Anolis sagrei: one gene and its partner. Each later gene encodes a partner of the first gene's protein in a complex. Links are inferred from orthologs where the notes say so. Each region holds a gene or a part of one and is shown on either strand. Other genes may lie near its edges.

Region 1 (10,700 bases):
ATTATAATAAAACAATATAAAAACATTATAAAAACATTAAGACAAATCACCGATTTCTGTCGTCATCCTAAAAACAGTCCATCATAGTTCATTCGCTTCTGTCAACCTAGCAGTTCGAAAACATGGAAATGTGAGTAGATCAATAAGTATCGCTCCAACAGGAAGGTAATGGTGCTGCATGCAGTCATGCCGGCCACATGACCTTGGAGGTGTCTATGGACAACGCCAGCTCTTCAGCTTAGAAATGGACCATCCCCCCCAGAGTTGGACACAACTAGACTTAATGCCAAGGGGAAACCTTTACCCTATTTAGTAAAGGTTTAGTAAACTACTAATGAGGAAGAAGAGACAGGTTGCCTTTGCCTATGACTACTGGGAAGGGAGAAATACTTCCCCCTATTTTCCTCTTTCTGCCACTGAATTAATTAAGTGCAAACTATATTTGTGCCAACTGAAGTAAGGGGAGGAAGTAGAAAAAGAAGGGAGAAAGTGGATATGCATCTGCACTGTAGAATCAATGAAGTTTGAACCCACTTTAATTACAATGGCACAGTGCTATGGAATCGTAGGAACCTGAAGGGCTCTTTGGCACGGGAGGCTATATGCGTTGCAAAACTAAAGCTCCCAGGATCCAATATACCATATATTCTGGCATATAAGATGACTGGGCGTATAAGACGACCCCCAACTTTTCCAGTTAAAATATAGAGTTAAGACGACTCCCATGCATAAGACTACACCCGCGTATAAGACGACCCCTGACTTTTGAGAAGATTTTCTTGGGTTAAAAAGTAGTCTTATACGCCAGAATATACTGTAAATGTAAATATCGTAAATAAATAAATGAATAAATAGTACTGAGCCATGTGTCCAATTCTGGGCACCACAATTCAAGAGAGATATTGACAAGCTGGAATGTGTCCAGAGGAGGGCGACTAAAATGATTAAGGGTCTGGAGAACAAGCCCTATGAAGAGCGGCTTAAGGAGCTGGGCATATTTAGCCTGAAGAAGAGAAGGCTGAGAGGAGATATGATAGCCATGTATAAATATGTGAGAGGAAGCCACAGGGAGGAGGGAGAAAGCTTGTTTTCTGCTTCCCTGGAGACTAGGACGCGGAACAATGGCTTCAAACTACAAGAAAGGAGATTCCATCTGAACATGAGGAAGAACTTCCTGACTCTGAGAGCCGTTCAGCAGTGGAACTCTCTGCCCCGGAGTGTGGTGGAGGTTCCTTATTTGGAAGCTTTTAAACAGAGGCTGGATGGCCTTCTGTCAGGGGTGATTTGAATGCAATATTCCTGCTTCTTGGCAGAATGGGGTTTGGACTGGATGGTCCATGAGGTCTCTTCCAACTCTTTGATTCTATGATTCTATGATTCTATGTCAGTTAATGTGGTGTCAAACTGGATTATTTTTACAGTGTAGGGGCCTATTAAAGGGCAGCTGAAAAAGTGGTACGACTGAGTTGTTGTTGGAACTGTCTCTGCCAAAACAAAAGAGATGTGATGTGGAAGTCTGCAGCGTGTTGCTTCCCTCTCTCCCCCACTCCATTACCAAGTTTCGGGGATTAAAGAGGGATTGCAAAACCTTAAATGAAGAATAGTCCTGGAGAATAAGATAATAAACACTGCTTTCCAGCTTCAGTCAATTTATGAGTCCTTCTTGGTCAAGAGTTGCCCACATAGCAAAACATATTGCTTGCATCTGCCTAGAATTCCATGCTGGGTCTTTTCAAACTTTTCAATACCTGTCATTCTTTAATTGAAGCCTGAATCTGGTGCCATGGGAAGCAAAGCATGCGCTGCACCCTGCGTGACTCTTCCCGGCCAGAACCGCACCGCTTCTGCTAGTAAAAGCGTGTTCCTTCCAGCAGCCAAAACTGTCAGCTGAAAAGGCAGGAAGCCTCAGGTCTTGCCAGGCCATGTTTTTCCTGTACTTTGCTTACGGGACAACGTTTTGGAGCAAAACAAATGGAAACACCATGCCGTGTCCTTATGGGAATGGTAAACAGTTGCCAAGTTCCAGAGTGCCAGCAATTTATTGGTTGTATTTTTATAAAAGGTGTCACACATCCCATTCGTTTTCAGTTCAAAGGGTATCATGCAAGACATCACAACTCTGGTTGAAATGATAGTTTGCAGGTTTGCAGCTGGCCCTGAGCCGGAGCTTTTAACTGCATCCTAACAGACAGAAAATGTGACAGCTTAAGCTTCTTCCTATCACTTTCTCTCCTTCTCAAAAGAAGCCTTTGTCTGTTAAATCTTTTGCTTGTCGGGATCCTGTGAAAGGCAGAGCTGTCAGGCCAGATTATAAAAAGGTGACAATTCTTTTTTGCCTTGAGGCATTGATAGGGAATCCTGAAATGCTTTGTGTATATATAGGCTTTGTGTATATATAGGCCTTTGTGTATATATAGGCCCGTCAGTATACTACACTTGGAGGACATCATCCTCGGACCACAAGGGATTGCCTAAGTAAGTAAGTAAAAGTCATATAGGACTGTCGGTTTACAGCAAACCCAAGAATTTCATAGGGTTTTGTTTTGCCAGTTCTGAAATAGAGCCTCCAGCATTTGGAGGTGGCAAAATGGATTAAACCCTTGTACTGGCAGGACTGCTGACCAAAAGATCGGCAGTTCGAATCCAGGGAGTGGGATGAGTTCCTGTCTGTCAGCTCCATCTTCTCATAGAGAGACATGAGAGATCCCTCCTACAGGATGATAAAACATCCAAGTGTCTCCTGGGCAACGTTCTTGCAGACAGCCAATTCTCTCATACCAGAAGTGACTTGCAGTTTCTCAAGTCACTCCTTGCAATTTCTCAAGTCACACGGAACAATGTCTTCAAACTACAAGAAAGGAGATTCCACCTGAACATTAGGAAGAACTTCCTTACTATGAAAGCTGTTCAGCAGTGGAACTCTCTGCCCAGGAGTGTGGTGGAGTCTACTTCTTTGGAGGCTTTTAAACAGAGGCTGGATGGCCATCTGTTGGTGGTGCTTTGAATGCAATTTTCCTGCTCCTTGGCAGAATGGGGTTGGACTGGATGGCCTACGAGGTCTCTTCCAACTCTACAATTCTATGATTCGATGATTCCTGACACACACAAAAATCCTGGTGTTCACTGATGGCATCCCACCCAAGTACTAACCAGGGCTGCCCCTGCTTAGCTTCCAAAATCAGCAAGATATAGTGCCTTTAGAGCATTGTTTCTCAAAACTTCCTAATGCCGCGACCCCTTAATACAGTTCCTCATTTGGTGGCGACCCCCAACCATAACATTATTTTTGTTGCCACTTCACAACTGTCATTTTGCTCCTGTTATGATTCATCATGTAAATATCTGATATGCAAGATGGATTTTCATTCACTGAACCAAATTTGGCACAAATACCCCATAGGGTTGGGGGGGGGGGTTAATTTTGTCATTTGGGAGTTGTAGTTGCTGGGACTTATAGTTCACTTACAACCTGAGCATTCTGAACTCTGACATTGATGGAATTGACCGAACTTGGCACACAGATCACTGGACAAAATTTGGCACAAATACCCAGTACACCTATATTTGAATACTGGTGGAGTTTTTTTTTTTGGGGGGGGGGGTCGGTTGATTTTGTCATTTGGGAGTTGTAGTTGCTGGGATTCATAATTCACCTACAATCAAAGAGCATTCTGCACTCCACTAATGATGGGATTGAACCAAACTTGGCACACAGAACTCTCATGACCAACAGAAAACATTGGAAGAGTTTGATGGGCATCGATCTTGAGTTTTGGGTGTAGGTGAACAAAATCAATCCCCTCCCCAACCCATCTAGTATTCATCGATCTTGAGTTCACCTACACCCAAAGAGCACTGAGGACTAGAACAATGATGGATCTGGACCAAACTTGGCACGAATACTCAATATGCCCCAATGTGAACACTGGTGGAGTTTCGACAAAATAGACCTTGACATCTGGGAGTTGTAGCTGTTGGGATTTATAGTTCACTTAGAATCAAAGAGTATTGTGAACTCCACCAACGATAGGATTGGGCCAAACTTTCCACACAGAACCCCCATGACCAACAGAAAATACTGTGTTTTCTGATGATCTTAGGTGGCCCCTCTGACACCCCCTTGCGACCCCTTCAGCAGTCCCAACTCCCAGGTTGAGAAACACTACTTTAGAGCATTTAGACTTAGAATTTGTTTTTCTGCTTCTTGGCAGAAAGGGGTTGTACTAGATAGCCCATGAGGTCTCTTCCAACTCTATGATGCTATGATTCTAAATAAACATCCATGTACTAGGATAAAGCATAAAATCACCCAATATAAGTGTTCGGGCTAGTTTGTTTTCCCTAACTTCAGTTTGTGTTAGTAGGTAACAAAGAAACAAGGTAACCCCACATTGCTTTTCCTTCTCCACCTCACTGTCCTCGGCTGTATCTATTGCTTTCCCAATGTTTACAAAGAAAATATCTGAAACTTTCCATCGTGCAGATAACAGGCACTGCCTTTCGACTTCCATCCCTTGCAAATCCCTAAGAGTCAATGTTCCCATTTTACAGATGGGGAAAATAAACAAGGCCAAGAAACTTAGGAAACACCAGAAAGTTTTTCACTTAAGGTCACAACAAGTGTCTTTTCCAGCCCATGTATCACAGTTTAATTACTCTATTCCAGCTCAAAATATGAGGTGTGCTGAGGTCCAATGACCTGAGGTCCATGACATCTTCTAGTAGCCTGACCTGGGAATACTTTATTAACTTTTTAACCCAATCCTCCTGAGCTTCAAAAACTAAATAGTTTATGCCCTCCTATCCAGAAAGGTGTTGCTTTCTGGATATTACTTTTTGGATTACAACCCCATAAAGTCCACACAACTGTCAGAGCCAAGTGTGGGTTTTGTAGTCCTAAAGTACCTTTTCCAATCTCTCCGAATGTGGAAGCCTAGCAAAATGTGTCCATTTCCTGCCACCGGAGAGAAAGATCAGCAAATAACTACTACTAGGTCTTCTGTAACGCATGGACCCCACTTCCTCTCCTCCCAGCCCCAGCCCAGGCCTCACCGTGGTTTAGAGGCAGCATGTTGAACCTGTGGATCTCCTTGGCGTAATACTCCTCCTGAGATGTCTCCTTGGGGTCTTCGACCACCTGCTCCCGGATCACCTCCAAGGTGCTGTTGTAGAGCGCCATGATCTCATCGGACAAGACCCTGGAGTCTGGGTCTTCCACCTCTGGTGGGCTGGAGAGCTTGAGCTTGCTGAGGATCTGGCCTCGGATGGCTTCGATGCGCTTGCGCTTCATCATGTCCATGTCCAGGGTTTTGCAGGTGGAGAAGGCCAAAGCGGAGCAAAAGTGCTCCAAGGCCAGGAGCAGGAGGAAAAGCCAGCCCACGGCCCGCCGATGCATGCCAAGGGCCCCTGGGGCACGTCGGGCATCGCTCTGCCAGCCGCAGCCTCTTGGCACCAACTGCCTCATGCTTCCTCCCACCATCTCACTTCTGCTCTTTAGCTCGGCCCCCAAAAAGGCAAAGAGAAAAAAGAAAACAAAACTTTGCTTGACGTTTACTCACTTCTTTTTAAGCCTCTGTCATCTGAAGAAGAACCTTGTTTCCTACCAATGTGCCACTTGCCATGAAGTCCTTCAAAATATATCCTAGTTTTCTTTTCTCACTAGAGTTTCTTCCTACTTGGAGTGGATCAACCATCCAGGGTGGCACTTTCTCAAAGGTGACAGGAAACTCACCTTGGCACCTCGGCTGTCCATGTGTCCGGCTGCTAGATGTACCCAGGTTCACCCTTGGCACCAGACCACGGCCGCAGCCCAAATGTCCATCTCCCAGAGAAGGCCAACACACCTTGTCTCTCTGGTTTGAGTCAAGAAAGGATCTTTTCTTAGCCAGTCAAGGGGCTCCAGCTTTACCCAAGACAAGAGGTGCCCTGAGTTCCCAGGAATGAGGCACCACACTTGCTTTGGGGACTGGGGCCAAATCCAGGGTCAAGATTCGGGAGGTTCCTCCAGGCGGCTGTGCTCTGGCTTTGCTGCTGTTGCCTCCTGCCGCTTCTTCGCTCCCCAGAGCCAGCTGGCTCTTCTTTCTTCCTCGGCAGGAAAGGCTGTAATTTTACCACTCCTGTTGGGACTTGCTGACTGAGGGCTTGGAGGTTTTTAAAGCGGGTTTTTTTCTCCTCTCCCCAGCGCCAGCTCCACCCAGGAAATGAAGGAGGGAGTCAGCAGGGCTGTATATAACTTCTTCACCAGGGGAGACTCTGGCAAAAGCAGCAAGGCTCTGGCCTGTCTTTCTGCCTGCTCTTCCTGCCTATCCTTTCTTTCTTTCTTTCTTTCTTTCTTTCTTTCTTTCTTTCTTCTCTTACCTTCTTTTCCTTGCACAGCCTCTCCATCTCTCCATACATCTTTACTCACCTCATTGTTGAATCAACCATATCTCTGAAAGTTTTGTTTCTCTTTCCTTTTTGTTTCTTTCATTCCCTTTCTCTCACTGTTGTCTTCTTTCCTCTGCACAGCCTCTCAATTTCTTCATTCATTTTTCTTTATCTAATTACTGAACTATCTACTTGCAAGTCTTTTTCTTTGTTTTCTCTCTCTCTCTCTCATTCACTCATCTTCTTTTCCCTGCATAGTCCCTCCATCTGTCTATTGCTCTTTATTCATCTCAATGATGAACCAGTCTTCTCCCTCAAGTCTTTCTTTCTTCCTTCCTCCCTCCCTTCCTCCCTCCCTTCCTTCCTTTTCTCTCTCAAACCAATTGTCTCCCTCAAGTGTTCTTTCTTTCCTTCTGTCCTTCCTTCCTTCTTTCCTTTGCTCTCTCAGAATCACTTCTCCCTCAAGTCTTCCTTCTTTCCTTCCTTTTCTTTCTCTTAGTACCAATCATCTCCCTTAAGTGTTCTTTCTTTCCATCCTTCCTTGCTTCCTTTTCTTTCTCTTAGTACCAATCTTCTCCCTCAAGTATCCCTTCCTTCCTTCCTTCCTTCCTTCCTTCCTTTCTTCCTTCCTTCCTTTTCTTTCTCTCAGAACCAATTTTCTCTCTCAACTGTTTTTCCTTTCTTCCTCCCTCCCTTTCTTTTCTTTCTCGCAGAACCAATCTTCTCCCTCAAGTATCCCTTCCTTCCTTCCTTCCTTCCTTCCTTTCTTCCTTCCTTCCTTTTCTTTCTCTCAGAACCAATTTTCTCTCTCAACTGTTTTTCCTTTCTTCCTCCCTCCCTTTCTTTTCTTTCTCGCAGAACCAATCTTCTCCCTCAAGTATCCCTTCCTTCCTTCCTTCCTTCCTTCCTTCCTTCCTTCCTTCCTTCCTTCCTTCCTTCCTTTTCTTTCTCTCAGAACCAGTCTTCTCCCTCAAGTGTTTTCCTTCCTTCCTTTCCTTTCCTTTTGTTTCTCTCAGAACCAATCTTCTCCCTTTCTTTCTTTCTTTCTTTCTTTCCTTCCTTCCTTCCTTCCATCCATCCATCCATCCATCCATCCATCCATCCATCTATTCATCCTTTTTCTTTCTCTCAGAACTGATCTTCTTCCTCAAGTGTTTCCCTTCCTTCTTTCCTTCCTTCCTTTTCTTTCTTTCTCTCTCTTTTCCTTCCATATCCTCCTCTCTCCATTCACCTTTCTTCACCTCATTGCTGAGCCAACTATTTCCCCACAAGAGATCTTGCTTGCTTGCTTGATTTTTCTCTTTCTTTCATCTTCTCTTCGATGCATAGCCTCTCCAGCTCTGTTCATCTCTCTTTACCTTTTTGCTGAACTATCTCTTAGGAAGTCTTCTTGACTCTTCTCTTCACTTTTCTCTCTTCCTCTTCTTTGCTTTCTCTTTTGTTTAAAAAATGATTCAGCGCAAGGCAGAAGCGATGGGCCAAACTCAGGCGCAGCCTCTGCTTTCGCTTTGAGAAGGATCTTTTTTATTACAGGAGATTAGATAACGCTTTCAGTGGCTCTTCTAACTCGGCGGCAGCTTCTGTGCTCAGGCAGCTGAGGAAGGGGCTCCTGGACTAGATAACGCCTGCTTCAAGTCAAGGGAAATACCTTCAGGCTGGAAGGCCTGGATTCAAGTTTCGCCTCTGCCCATGACTCATGTCAGTAGCCCCGGGGGAATGTTTCCTGAGCTCACATGATATGGCTTTGTTGTGGTCATGTCACAATGAGGACCCAGGTGGGGTTTTTTCCTACAAGTTGCATTTCCTGAAAATACACCACACTCATTTTAATACTTTCGTTGTCATATACTTTCAAGTCATTTCTGACTTATGGGTTTTCTTGGCAAGATGTGTTTTGAGTGGGTTTTCCTTTGCCTTCACCCTAGATCTCCCACTCAAAAGTGCAATATCACCCAGACTCTCTATACATCGCTATCACTATTATTCCTGATCCATTCTGAATAGTATTTGTGTATTCAAAACACATGGCCTGAAGTTGGTCAAGCTAGGCCATATTCTGCAGATAGTAGCTGACATTAAGAGAACAAGGACCCATTCACTGCTGTCTCACAAACCCTTGGTCAAAAGAAATATCCAAATGCTATTCCATTCTAAGCAATTACAACATCATATAGATCAGTGGTTCTCAACCTTCCTAATGGCACAGTTCCTTATGCTATGGGGACCCCCAACCATAAAATTATTATGTTGCCACTTCATAACTCTAATTTTTCTATTGTTATGCATTGTAATGTAAATATCTGATATCAGGATGCATTTTATTCATTGGACCAAATTTGGCACAAATACACAATATGCCCAAATTTGAATACAGGTAGGCTTGGGGGGGGGATTGATTTTGTCATTTGGGATGTATAGTTCACCTACAGTCAAATAACATTTTGGACTCCAGCAATGATGGAATTAAACCAAAATTGGCACATAGAACTCCCATGACCAAAAGAAAATACTGAAAGGGTTTGGTGGGCATTGACCTTGAGTTTTGGAGTTGGAGTTGTAGTTCACCTACAACTGTGGACTCGAACAATGATGGATCTGGACCAAACTTGGCACAGATACTCAATATGCCCAAATGTGAACACTGGTGGAGTTTGGGGAAAACAGGCATTGACATTTGGGAGTTGTAGTGGCTGGGATTTATAGTTCACCTACAATCAAAGAGCATTCTGAACCCCACCAATGATAAAATTGGGCAAAACATCTCACATAGAACCCTCATGACCAACAGAAAATACTGTGTTTTCTGATGGTCTTTGGTTACCCCTCTGAAAACCCCTCGTGACCCACCCAGGTGTCCTGACCTCCAAGTTGAGAAACACTGATATAGAAATAAGAATGTGTGCTGGTTATATATCTAACATTTCACAGGTAAAAACCAAGCAACATCCAAGGTGAAGTAAAGGTATAGGTTTCCCCTGACATTAAGTCTATCCACAAGCATGTGGGCAATTTCAACAGGAAGGAGGAAACCATGAAAATGAACAAAATCTGGCTACCAGTACTAAAAAAAACCCTAAAATTACAACAGCAAAACAACAGAGGGGAAACAATCAGGCACATCTAATCACCTCTCAACAAAAGATTGCCCCAGGCACTGCCAGACCATAAAATGCTAATCAAGGTGGTCAGTTGAAACATTCACACCTAGCTCCAACAGATAAGAGTTCTTTGCCCCACCGTGGTCATTCCACAGATACATAAACCCACTTTCCTAGTTCCAAAAGACCTCACTGCCTCTGAGGATGTTTGCCATAGATGCAGGCGAAATGTCAGGAGAAAATGCCTCTAGAACACGGCTATATAGCCTGAAAAAACCTACAACAACCCAGTGATTCCGGCCATGAAAGCCTTCGACAATACATTAAGCCAAGTCATTTTCGACTCTGGGGAGTGGTGCTTATCTCCATTTCTAAGCCAGTGTTGTCCATAAAATATTTATAATATTATAATGTAATGCAATATAATACTACTACTACTAACAATAACAATAATATGATATTATAATTATATATTTATATTACATGTAATATTACCAATAATATTACAATATAATGGTATAGTACAATATAGTAATATTTAATACTGATATTGTACTATGCTACTAACTTAATATATTGTATGCATATATATCTTGTAAGCCGCTCTGAGTCTCCTTTGGGGGGGGGGGACTCAAGCCCCGCCTTCATCACAAGTGAGATTGGCGGGGACAAAGAGCAGGGCCTTCTCGGTGGTGGCCCCTCACCTATGGAATTCACTCCCTGGGGAAATTAGATCATCGTCATCCCTCCTTTCCTTTAGAAGGAAATTAAAAACATGGATTTGGGACCAGGCGTTTGGGCAATCTGGCAGATAAATAAAGGACAATGATGACTGATAGGAATGGAAAATGTGGAATGAAGCTATGGACTCTGAGTTGCGAACGTTGAGCATAAGATTGCTTTTTATTGACTGTGATATATATTGATTGTTCTTAACTGTTATAACTGTTTTTAATTGCTGTCTATATCTTATTTGTATTACTGTGTAGGCATCGAATTGTGCCTTTTTGTAAGCCGCCCTGAGTCAACCCTCAGGGGTTGAGAAGGGCGGGGTAGAAGTACATGAACTAAATAATAAAAATAAAAATAAAATATAAATGTCATAAATAAATAAAGGTCATGCAGTCATGACTGCATGGTGCGCCAATATCTTCTTGCATTCGACAACAGAAGCGGTACATATTGATCTATTCACATTTGCATGTTTTTGAACTGCTAGGTTGGCAGAAGCTGGGG
Region 2 (10,700 bases), on another chromosome or scaffold:
ACTGCAGTTGTATAGCACAAAATAGCCCAATAGTGTGAGCATGCCCTTTTTGTACCAAGATGGTTTCAGAGAGGGTCAAACTGGGACAGAATCTTGTACTTCCCTGCAGGCTCAGGCAAAAGCAAATTGCTGCAGCCTCTCCTAGCTCATGTGTTCTTTCTCACACCATAACTTCTGCTGTCTTAACTATATGCTTATGTTCTTTGGTCACATGTATTTCAATTTTCATTTGTGAAATTTTTGGGAAGTATGCTAGGTATTTTAGTTTACAGATCTAATAGTTTGATAGGGATCCCCTTCAGGTAACTATGTAGCATTAGTTCTATTAACAAGTAACCAGTTAACTTTTCCTTTATCTTTACCTCCTTTCCCTTCTCTATACAGCTGCTTCCATTTGCATATGTTGAGGGGCGGGAGACAGAAAACCTGTTTCCCAATATTGATTAAAACAATGACAAGACACAAAAATAAAAATTATAAAACAAAATAATTAGCCTAGGACCTTCCTAATGCTGCAACCCCTTAATAAAGCTCCTCATGTTGTGGTGACCCCGAGTCATTAAATTATTTTCATTGCTACTTCAGAACTATAATTTAGCTACTGGTATGAATCGTAATGTAAATATCCTATATGCAGGATGAATTTTCATTCACTGGGCATTCACTGGGCCGCAGCCCCCGGTGGTGCAGTGGGTTAAACCACTGTGCCAGCAGGACTGAAGACCGACAGGTCGCAGGTTCAAATCCCGGGAGAGGCGGATGAGCTCCCTCTATCAGCTCCAGCTCCTCATGCGGGGACATGAGAGAAGCCTCCCACAAGGATGATAAAAACATCAAATCATCTGGGCATCCCCTGGGCAATGTCCTTGCAGACGGCCAATTCTCTCACACCAGAAGCGACTTGCAGTTTCTCAAGTCGCTCCTGACATGACAAAAAAAATTCACTGGGCCAAATTTGGACAAATACCTGATATGCCCAAATTTGAATACTGGTGGGGTTGGGGGGGGGGGGCATGATTTTGTCATTTGGGAGTTGTAGTTGCTGGGATTTACAGTTGACATACAGGGTTAGTCAAAATGCATAGGCCAATAAGCCATTCAATTGAATGGCTTATTGGCCTATGCATTTTGACTAACCCTGTATAATCAAAGAGCATTCTGAACTCCCCCAACGAAGAAATTGACCCAAACTTGGCACATAGAACTCCCACGATCAACTGTGTTTTCTGATGGTCTTTGGTGACCCTTCTGACACTCCCTCATGAACCCTCTCCCCGGGGTCCCGACCCCCAGGTTGAGAAACACTGGTATAGGAATAAAGCAAATGCAAAGCCTGGATCATGTTTGTAATATCTTGTTTGGTTGGTTGGCAAGCAACAGCTCAACAAGCACCAACATGATGACCACCTCATTTTGAATTAGCTTCTTCCTTTGGACTATCAAAGACAACTTCATGCAAAGGGCATTACAGTTGTGGTTAAGAAAGTTGATCACAAGTTTGAAAGCATTTTTGTTCGCTATCACCATGACAATCTTGAGATTCAAAACCCTATATACTCATGCATATATAAAGAAACTTTAATTGAAAATATGACTCAGGGTGCATTAATTCTACATTGCAGAATTAATGCAGCTTGTCTGGAGCATGGGGCTAGGCCAATTCTATTTCCACTTGCTTTCTGCTCATTTATTATGCATTTAGATCCTAAAATATGAAGAAAATTAGTACCTTTCAGGAACTCTAGCACAAATGCATCATTAAAACTAATCATGAAGATAACAAAATTTGGTTTATATATTCCGAGAAACTGAAAACGATGCCATAGTTGCCTCTATATGAAGGATGATTATGGGCAACAGATGTTCTAATTTAATTATGACTGGGAAACAAGCAAAATGTGGTGTACATTTCTGACAGTTTGAAATCAGACTTTTACAGAAACTTTTCTGCGTGTAACTTTCCGTAAATGCCTTTGCTTGAGGCTGAACATTTTTGCACTAATATAAACAGATGAATGAATTCCTCAGAACAAGTAAAAACTAGCAGAAATGGTTCAGCAACAGGAAAAAAGAAAGCAAAACGCTCTGAAATTCAAAACAGTAGTACAATTTGTTGCTCATTAGCACCATGCAAAAGTATTTTGTTGTATTTCAGGAATGGTGGACATTGTTATATTACAATTCCTATCATTCTTTACCTTTTTACTGTGCTGGCTAGAGCTAATGGGAGTCATAGTCCAACAAAGTTTAGAAAACAGGTTTCTAACTCTTCATGTATTTATCTCACTCCGATTTTTGCACCAGGAGGCAGAAAACATGTTCTGCGTAATACATTTTGCAGACATGACAGTATACTGATTATATCTCAGCAGGCATGACGAAATTCAGAACTGTGTAAATGTAAGAAACCTTAGATTTGCAGCTAAATGCAGCTTTTAATGGGTGAATTATATGGCTAAGAATCACACATCAATACTGTTTGACCTTGTAAAACTACAACTCATGATTCTATAGCATTAAGCTAGATCAGTATTTCTCAACCTGGGGGTCACAAGGGGGTTTTAGTGGGTCACCAAAGACCATCAGAAAACATATATTTCTGATGGCCTTAGGAACCCCTTTAGCAGAGAAGGCCGAAGATCTCTCTGCCTGTCCTTCCCTTTCTTTTTGGAAACAGACGGCAAATCTTCCCACCAAAAGCTCTCCTGTGCTGTGATTGGCCGACCTCTCAGCCAAGGGGAGGGCTGTTTCTGAGACACCAAGCAGGGGAGGGGAGAGCAGGCATGTTCGGCACATAGCAGAATGGTGCGCATGTGCGTGTGAGGTTGGAGGGAGGCTTGGGCCACAGGTTGAGAACCACTGTTCTATACATAAACACACATATGCACACTGGTAGGCCTGGAGGGCCAAAGTTTGCTCATGCCTGATCTATAGGCATGTATCTGTCTGTGCGTATAACTTTGTGTGTATGTATGTGTATGTGCTTGTCTGTGTGTATAAGTATGTATGTGAGTGTATGTACATGTCTGTGGTTTACTTGTGTGTATGTATGTGAGTGTATGTGCCTGTCTGTATGCATAAGTTTGTGTGTATGCATGAGAGTGTATGCACCTGTCTATGTGTATGTGAATGTATGTGCCTGTTTGTGTGTATAAGTTTGTGTGTATGTATGTGCGTGTCTGTGTGTATAAGTTTGTGTGTTGGTATGTGAGTGTATGTGCCAGTTTGTGTGTATGTATATATGTGCCTGTTTGTGTATATGTATACGAGTGTATGTGCCTGTAAGTGTGTATAAGTTTGTGTGTATGTATGTGAGCGTATGTGCCTGTCTGTGTGTATAAGTTTGTGTGTACATATGCAAGTGTATGTGCCTGTAAGTGTGTATAAGTTTGTGTGTATGTATGTGAGCGTATGTGCCTGTCTGTGTGTATAAGTTTGTGTGTACATATGTGAGTGTATGTGCCTGTGTGTATAAGTTTGTGTGTATGTATGTGAGTGTATGTGCCTGCTTGTGTGTATGTATGCGAGTGTATGTGCCTGTAAGTGTGTATAAGTTTGTGTGTATGTATGTGAGCGTATGTGCCTGTCTGTGTGTATAAGTTTGTGTGTACATATGTGAGTGTATGTGCCTGTGTGTATAAGTTTGTGTGTATGTATGTGAGTGTATGTGCCTGCTTGTGTGTATGTATGCGAGTGTATGTGCCTGTAAGTGTGTATAAATTTGTGTGTATGTATGTGAGTGTATGTGCCTGTCTGTGTGTATAGGTTTGTGTGTATGTGCCTGCTTGTGTGTATGTCTACGAGTGTATGTGCCTGTAAGTGTGTATAAGTGTGTGTGTATGTATGTGAGTGTATGTGCTTGTCTTTGAGTATAAGTTTGTGTGTATGTATGTGAGTGTATGTGCCCGTTTGTGTGTATGTGTGTGCCTGTAAGTATGTGTAGGTTTGTGTGTATATATGTATGTGAGTGTATGTGCCTGTCTGTGTGTATAAGTTTGTGTGTATGTATGTGAGTGTATGTGCCTGCCTGTGTGTATAAGTTGTGTGTATGTATGTGAGTGTATGCACCTGTCTGTGTGTATGTATGCGAGTGTATGTGCCTGTTTGTGTGTAAGTATATGAATGCATGTGCTTGTCTGTGTGTATAGGTTTGTGTGTATGTATGTGAGTGTATGTGCCTGTTTGTGCGTATGTATGCGAGTGTATATGCCTGTCTGTGTGTATAAGTTTGTGTGTATGTATGTGAATATATGTGCCTGTTTGTGTGCATGTGAGTGTATGTGCCTGTTTGTGTGTATGCATGTGACTGTATGTGCCTCTCTGTGTGTATAAGTTTGTGTGTATGTATGTGCGTGTCTGTGTGTATACGTTTGTTTGTATGTATGTGAGTATATGTGCCTGTTTGTGTGCATGTGAGTGTATGTGCCTGTTTGTGTGTAAGCATGTGACTGTATGTGCCTCTCTGTGTGTATAAGTTTGTGTGTATGTATGTGCGTGTCTGTGTGTATACGTTTGTGTGTATGCATGTGAATGTATATGCCTTTATGTGTGTATAAGTTTGTGTGTATGCACGTGAGTGTATGCGCCTGTCTGTGTGTATAAGTTTGTGAGTATGTACATGAGTGTCTGCACCAATCTGTGTTTATGTATTTGAGTGTATGCGCCTGTCTGTTAGGAATTGTGGAAGCTGAAGTCTAAAACACTGGAGGGCCGAAGTTTGCCCATGCCTCATCTATAGGCATGTGCTTGTCTGTGTGTATAAGTTTGTGTGCGTGTATGTGCGTATATAAGTTTGTGTGTACATATGTGAGTATATGCGCCTGTCTGCGAGTATGTTTGTGTGTATACATGTGCGTGTATGCGCTTGTCTGGGTGTATAAGTTTGTGTTTGTGTGTCTGCATGTGTGTAGAAGTGTGCGTGCGTGCGGTGTGTGCCTGTCAGGGCGCGCTGGGGCGAAGCGGTTCCAGAGGAGAAGGAGGAGGAGGAGGAGGGCGGGCCAGCGGAGAAGGAACTCCAGCCAGAGTGAAGAAAGTCCTGCCCAGCTGTTTGCGAACTTCGAAGGTTTCCTGTTTCCCCTGCAGGCAGGCAGGCAGGCAAGCAAGCAGGCCGGGCTGCAGCGAGCGGAGGGGCGTGAGTCACAGAGGCACGCACTCCCAGCAGCAGCAGCAGCCGCCCAGCCGCCCATCCGCCTCTGCTCCTTCGGCTGCCTCTGGCGGGGCCTCCTCGGCTGGCTGTGGTTCCCCCTGGAGCCCCCAAAGAAGCCCTGGCCGCCTCCCCCCCGCGCGCGGGCGCCCAAGGCACGGATGTACCATGAGCTGGCTTGCCAAGCTCGCTTTGGTGTGGACTCTGCTGCACATCGCCACGCCCGCGCTGGCCCGGGCCACAGGTAAAGCTCGCACCAGAGGTTTCCCCCTCTTGCGTTCCAGCAACGCTCCTGAGAGAGAGAGAGAGAGAGAGAGAGAGAGAGAGCCACAGCTTTGGAGATGGTCAGGAGCTCCCTTGGGTTGCCTCAGGGCCACTTCCTCTCCCGCTTCAGCGCTTGGGAAAGTTCAGAGGAACTTTTCTGTCCGGTTCTTCTCCCCTATATTTCTCTTTGTATCCAGAAGGAAACCTCTCCCTTACTAGGAGGGGAAAGGGTGGCCTTAGAAGCGGCTGAGGGGGAAAAGGAAGGGGGCTGAGGCTGTTAGGAATGGTGGGAGTTGGAGTCCAAAACACCTGGAGGGCCCAAGTTTGTCCATGCCTGCCTTAAGTGATCATTTTCTCTCAGCTTGGCCCCAAAAGGAGCCACTCTTGGCTCTATTTGCCAGGAATAGAAGGTTATTCCAAAGAAATAAGGGTTACAGTGCCTTTAGGACTGTGGTTCCCAATTTTCCGACCGCCACGACCCCTTAATACAGTTCCTCATGTTGTGGTGACCCCCCCCCCCCCAACCATAACATTATTTTCGTTGCTACTTAATAACTGTAATTTGCTACTGTTATGAATCATCATGTAAATATCTGATATGCAGATGTGTTTTTGTTCACTGGACCAGATTTGGCACAAATACCCCATACATTTGAATGCTGGTGGGGTTCAGGGAGAGGGCTGATTTTGTCATTTGGGAGTTGTAGTTGCTGGGATTTATAGTTGACGTACAATCGAAGAGCATTCTGAACTCCACCAAGGATGGAATTAAACCAAACTTGACCAACAGAAAATACTAGAAGGGTTTGGTGGGCATTGACCTTCAGTTTTGGAGTTGTAGTTCACCTACATTCAGAGAACACTGTGAACCCAAACAGTGATGGATCTGGACCAAACTTGGCACGAATCTATATAAATAAAATGTAATGTTAGTTTGTGGGATTGACATAACTCAAAAACCACTGGACGAGTTGACACCAAATTTGGACACAAGACACCTATCAGGCCAACGAGTGACCATCACTCATAAAAGCAAAAATAAAGAAAAAACACACAGCAGAAAGGACTTAAAAAGCCAAAAAACAAAAAAAATAACATTACAACACATGCGCAAAACCACATATATACACACACATATATACACATATACACAAATACACACACACACATACACATATATACACACACAAAACACATATACAGAGACTGGGACACAGCAGCACACGTGGCAGGGGATGGATAGTACTCAATATGCCCAAAGGTGAACACTAGTGGAGTTTGGGGAAAATAGACCTTGACATTTGGGAGTTGTAGTTGCTGAGATTTATAGTTCACCTACAATCAAAGGGCATTCTGGACCCCATGAACAATAGAATTGGGCCAAATTTCCCATATAGTACCCCCCCCCCCATGACCAACAGCAAATACTGTGTTTTGCAAGCCCCTCTGAAACCCTCTTGTGACCCCCCCCCCAGGGGTCCCAACACGCAGGTTGAGAAACACTGGCATAGGGGAACTATATCTTGTTTGCTGCTTTTTCAGCTGTGGGTCCTCACCCCAAATAGCGTCCCTTTCGCTTAATAAAATTGGTAACAGTCCAAGGTATGCTGCCTATTTATATAAATCTGTTGGCGGGGGGGGGGGGGGAGTTTAAAATCTGGTTTACTCATGAATTTTAACTGGTTAACAAATTCTTGGGTAACTAGGTTTTCTTAATCCCCCCCCCCCCCTGGTTCCAGACCTGGTTAGCAGTAATATGCAGCGTTTACTGTGGACTCTGCAGTAAATGCTTCACAGCTGTACTGCACAAAAAGGGAAAACCAACCTGTTTAGCAATCCTTCATTTGTTCCCAGTAAGTATTTGATTTTTATACAAGTATGTACCTAGGACCAAAAGGGGTTGCGAGTGAAAGAAGTTTAAGAAGTCCTTCTGCAGCTGACAAGTTTGGAGTGCAATGCTTCACATTAGGGAACTATATTCTGAGATGGTATATTGGGGGCACAGTCCCTTAGAATAGTAAAGGTAAAGGTTTCCCCTTGGCATTAAGTCTAGTTGTGTCCTACTCTGGAGAGTGGTGCTTATCTCAATTTCTATATAGTAGTGTAGTAGTAATAGTAGTAGTGGTAGTAGTAGTAGTAGTAAATTTTATTGATTAGCCCTTAGGCCATTTCACAATACCAAACCAAACAAAAAGGCTTGATAAAACTTGATTTCACTCTGTATAGCAAGTTAAGTAAATCACTTATAACAATATACTAAATAAATATGATAAAACTGAATATATACATAATGTTTCCATTTCTAAGCCGAAGAACTGTTGTCGTCTGTATACGCCTTCAAGAACATGTGGCCTGCATGACTGCAGGGAGCGCCGTTAGCTTTCTGCCTGAGGAGTTCCTATTAATCTACTCACATTTGCATGCTTTCAAATTGCTAGGTTGGCAGAAGCTGGGGCTTCTGCCAGATTCGAATCGCTGACCTTTCGGTCAGCATGTTCAACAGCTTAGCGCTTTAACCCACTGTGCCACCAGGGGCTCCATAGCATAGGACAACTATATCCTGTAGTTGATAAGTTGGGAGTCCAGTGCCTTAGAATAGTGGGACTGTATCTTGTAGTTGACAAGATTTCTTTTATTATAGATTTTTTTCTGTGTCAGCAGCAACTTGAGAAACTGCAAGTCGCTTCTGGTGTGAGAGAATTGGTCATCTGCAAGGACGTTGCCCAGGTGTCGTCTGAATGTTTTACCATCCTGTGGGAGGCTTCTCTCCTATCTCTGCATGAGAAGCTGGAACTGACAGATGGGAGTTCACCATGCTCCCCAGATTCAAACCTCTGACCTTTCAGTCAACAGTCCTGCTGGCACAAGGGTTTAACCTACTGCGTCACCGGGGGGCAATAAGTACTGTGACTTAAGATAAAAGAACTCTATTACGTGCTGATCCCTCCCACATCAAAATAGTTGGGGTCAGAATTTCAAAATGTTCCCCCTTTTCCCCCTAACAAAAAACTTTTTTTCTGTTACAAAACCTAGTTAAATAAATTGCTTTGCTCGGTCACTGCTACATATTGTAAAATTACAGGAAATTGACTGGGAAACCAAAGGAACGGAGTGCGTGTATGGTGACAGGTTTGTGGAAAACAGTAGGGGCAGCAATTTTTAAGAGTATGATGGTAAACACACATAGATGGATGTATGGGTTGTTTCATATGATAGTAAATGTTTGGATTTCAAATGTCTCAGGATTTTCCGTCTTCTTATTTTTGCTTTTTGTCTTGCTCATGTGTGGATTTTTCTCTGCCCGCTTTTCAACTTGCTTTGATACAAGCATGTTACAAAGAGATAAGTGAAGTAGAAACTAGACTTTCCATTGCTTTAAAAATGCCCTAGTTGTGAATTCCAGTGAGGCAATCTGGTCATATGATTACAGTCTTTAAACTTCCTTAAAGTTAACCAACGACTTCAGAACTTTCACTGTAATTATATTGTCATATTGAGGTCCTGGCGCATTACTCATCCGTTCTGTTGTTGTTGTTGTTGTTGTTATACTCCACTTTCCTCTCTTCATCCAGACTCAAAAGCAGCTCACAACAGTAAAACAATACAATTTAAGAATTAAAATAGAATTAAACATGGAGATATTTCAAACCTACTGTCTGCTTAATGGGTATGGCCAATATTGTACTAGGGGTCACAATTTGAAAAATGGGACACTATATAAATAGCAGAGGTGGAATTTTGTCAGCGTAGCCAATGATGAGGAATGCTGGGAGATGCAACCCAACATCTGGAGAGCCACAAAGTTCCCACTGCTGCTCTACAACAAGGATAGTTCATGCATACAATCAAGATGTTCAACTTCCCTTTCATTGTTGGTTATGCTGGCTCCTTGGGTTGCCATTTAATCACATTCGGAGGACCATGTGACCCACATTTTGGGCTCTAGATGCATAACCTGAAATGGCATCAGGGGCCCAGAAACTTTATGCTTGTTAATGAGCCACTACTCTTTATGTTTTGTGGCCTTTTATATTGGAATCTCCTTCCTAAAATACCTATGTGCACCCCTGTTTTCTCCTCAAAGTGTGTTTGAAAAGTATAGAAGTGCAGGTATGATGATTTCATTACACTTAACTTCTCCCTTTTAAAAGCAATGCTTTTAAAGAATCCTCCACCTTGTGCAACTGTGGAGCAAAACAAACAGCTCCACATCTGTATGCTTATCCGCAATGTCCTGCCTCATGTAAAGAGAAACAATTGTTTAAAGCTACAGACAATTTAGTCGCTGTTGCCCGTTTTTGGTAAAAAAAAAAAAAGTTGCTTGTGCTCCTTCTATTTTTATCAGTTTTATACTTATTTGTGCAGTGCTTTTGATACAAAATACATAAATAACATGTTTTTCTTTTTGCCTTCCCTTGGTAGAAAATCTATGGGAGGTGATTTTTTAATCATTATGCTAATTTTGCAAACTACATGAAGAATGCTATGTACTGTCATGTGAGTTGACAGTAAAACTGTAGAAATAGTACTGTTCACTGACAAATAATTTTTATTATTTATTTCCTACATTTATACAGTTTGCAATCCTGTATAAGCATAGTGTTGGAAAATACATGTATTCATTTTATACATATAAATTTATGTATTATCATACAAATTACTTACTTGCATTAAACAATCTATCAAGGGTATTTTTGTTTCTGATTTTCTAATTATTTTATGTGTTTTACACCAGAAAGCAAATTGGACCTATATTTTAGTTGTACAGTATTGGTGTCTTTGAAATATTGGCCCTCCCAATTATTCCATATATTAATGCCTACAACATATTAATGAGGGCAATGGAACTGTGATTATTTTAGTGACTTGGAGATATTTAAAGTATAGTCAAGACAGATAGGAAAGAATACGCACAGGAGTTTTGCCATTGTGTTCTCAGATATTTGTCAAATGACTTGCTATGTGAGTCTTAGTATTAGCAGAAACAAGACAAAACCAGAAAGTAATGAACAGATTGTTGCATGCATACTAGAAACTTTCCCAGGCCACTTTCGAATGCAATATCTCCTAAAAAGATGATCCTCGAAGTCAGGGAAGTAGGAGTCAAGGCAACATTAGTACTTCTGTTCCCATCTGCCTGAAAACTAGCATGATTGATAAATATGATGACGGAATAATAATAAACTCCCTAGAATTTGTCTCTGGGTTTTTATTCGCAGCAGACAGAATAAGTGACATGGAAATACTTTCACTGTGATTTAGGGCCCTTTCACATAGGCATATAAACCGGAAT

Evidence for each region. Proteins that work in one complex are often made in the same cells at the same time.
Region 2: the proteins of TGFB1 (region 1) and TGFBR2 are in contact, whole or in part, in a cryo-EM structure (PDB 9FKP), measured with the Homo sapiens proteins. The link is inferred for Anolis sagrei from reciprocal best matches to the Homo sapiens genes TGFB1 and TGFBR2. Residues at the interface, in NP_000651.3 of Homo sapiens: Arg303, Lys309, Trp310, His312, Tyr368, Tyr369, Val370, Gly371, Arg372, Lys373; in NP_003233.4 of Homo sapiens: Phe47, Leu50, Phe53, Asp55, Ser72, Ile73, Thr74, Ser75, Ile76, Cys77, Glu78, Val100, Asp141, Glu142.

What each region holds. Positions count from the first base shown.
Region 1 is NC_090034.1:98,781,130-98,791,829, forward strand, and holds the start of TGFB1 (transforming growth factor beta-1 proprotein), read right to left. Parts: upstream 6,254-10,700; 5' UTR 5,480-6,253; coding exon 5,053-5,479; intron 1-5,052. UniProt on the Homo sapiens protein: Transforming growth factor beta-1 proprotein: Precursor of the Latency-associated peptide (LAP) and Transforming growth factor beta-1 (TGF-beta-1) chains, which constitute the regulatory and active subunit of TGF-beta-1, respectively.
Region 2 is NC_090026.1:82,525,974-82,536,673, reverse strand, and holds the start of TGFBR2 (TGF-beta receptor type-2), read left to right. Parts: upstream 1-5,014; 5' UTR 5,015-5,311; coding exon 5,312-5,387; intron 5,388-10,700. UniProt on the Homo sapiens protein: Transmembrane serine/threonine kinase forming with the TGF-beta type I serine/threonine kinase receptor, TGFBR1, the non-promiscuous receptor for the TGF-beta cytokines TGFB1, TGFB2 and TGFB3.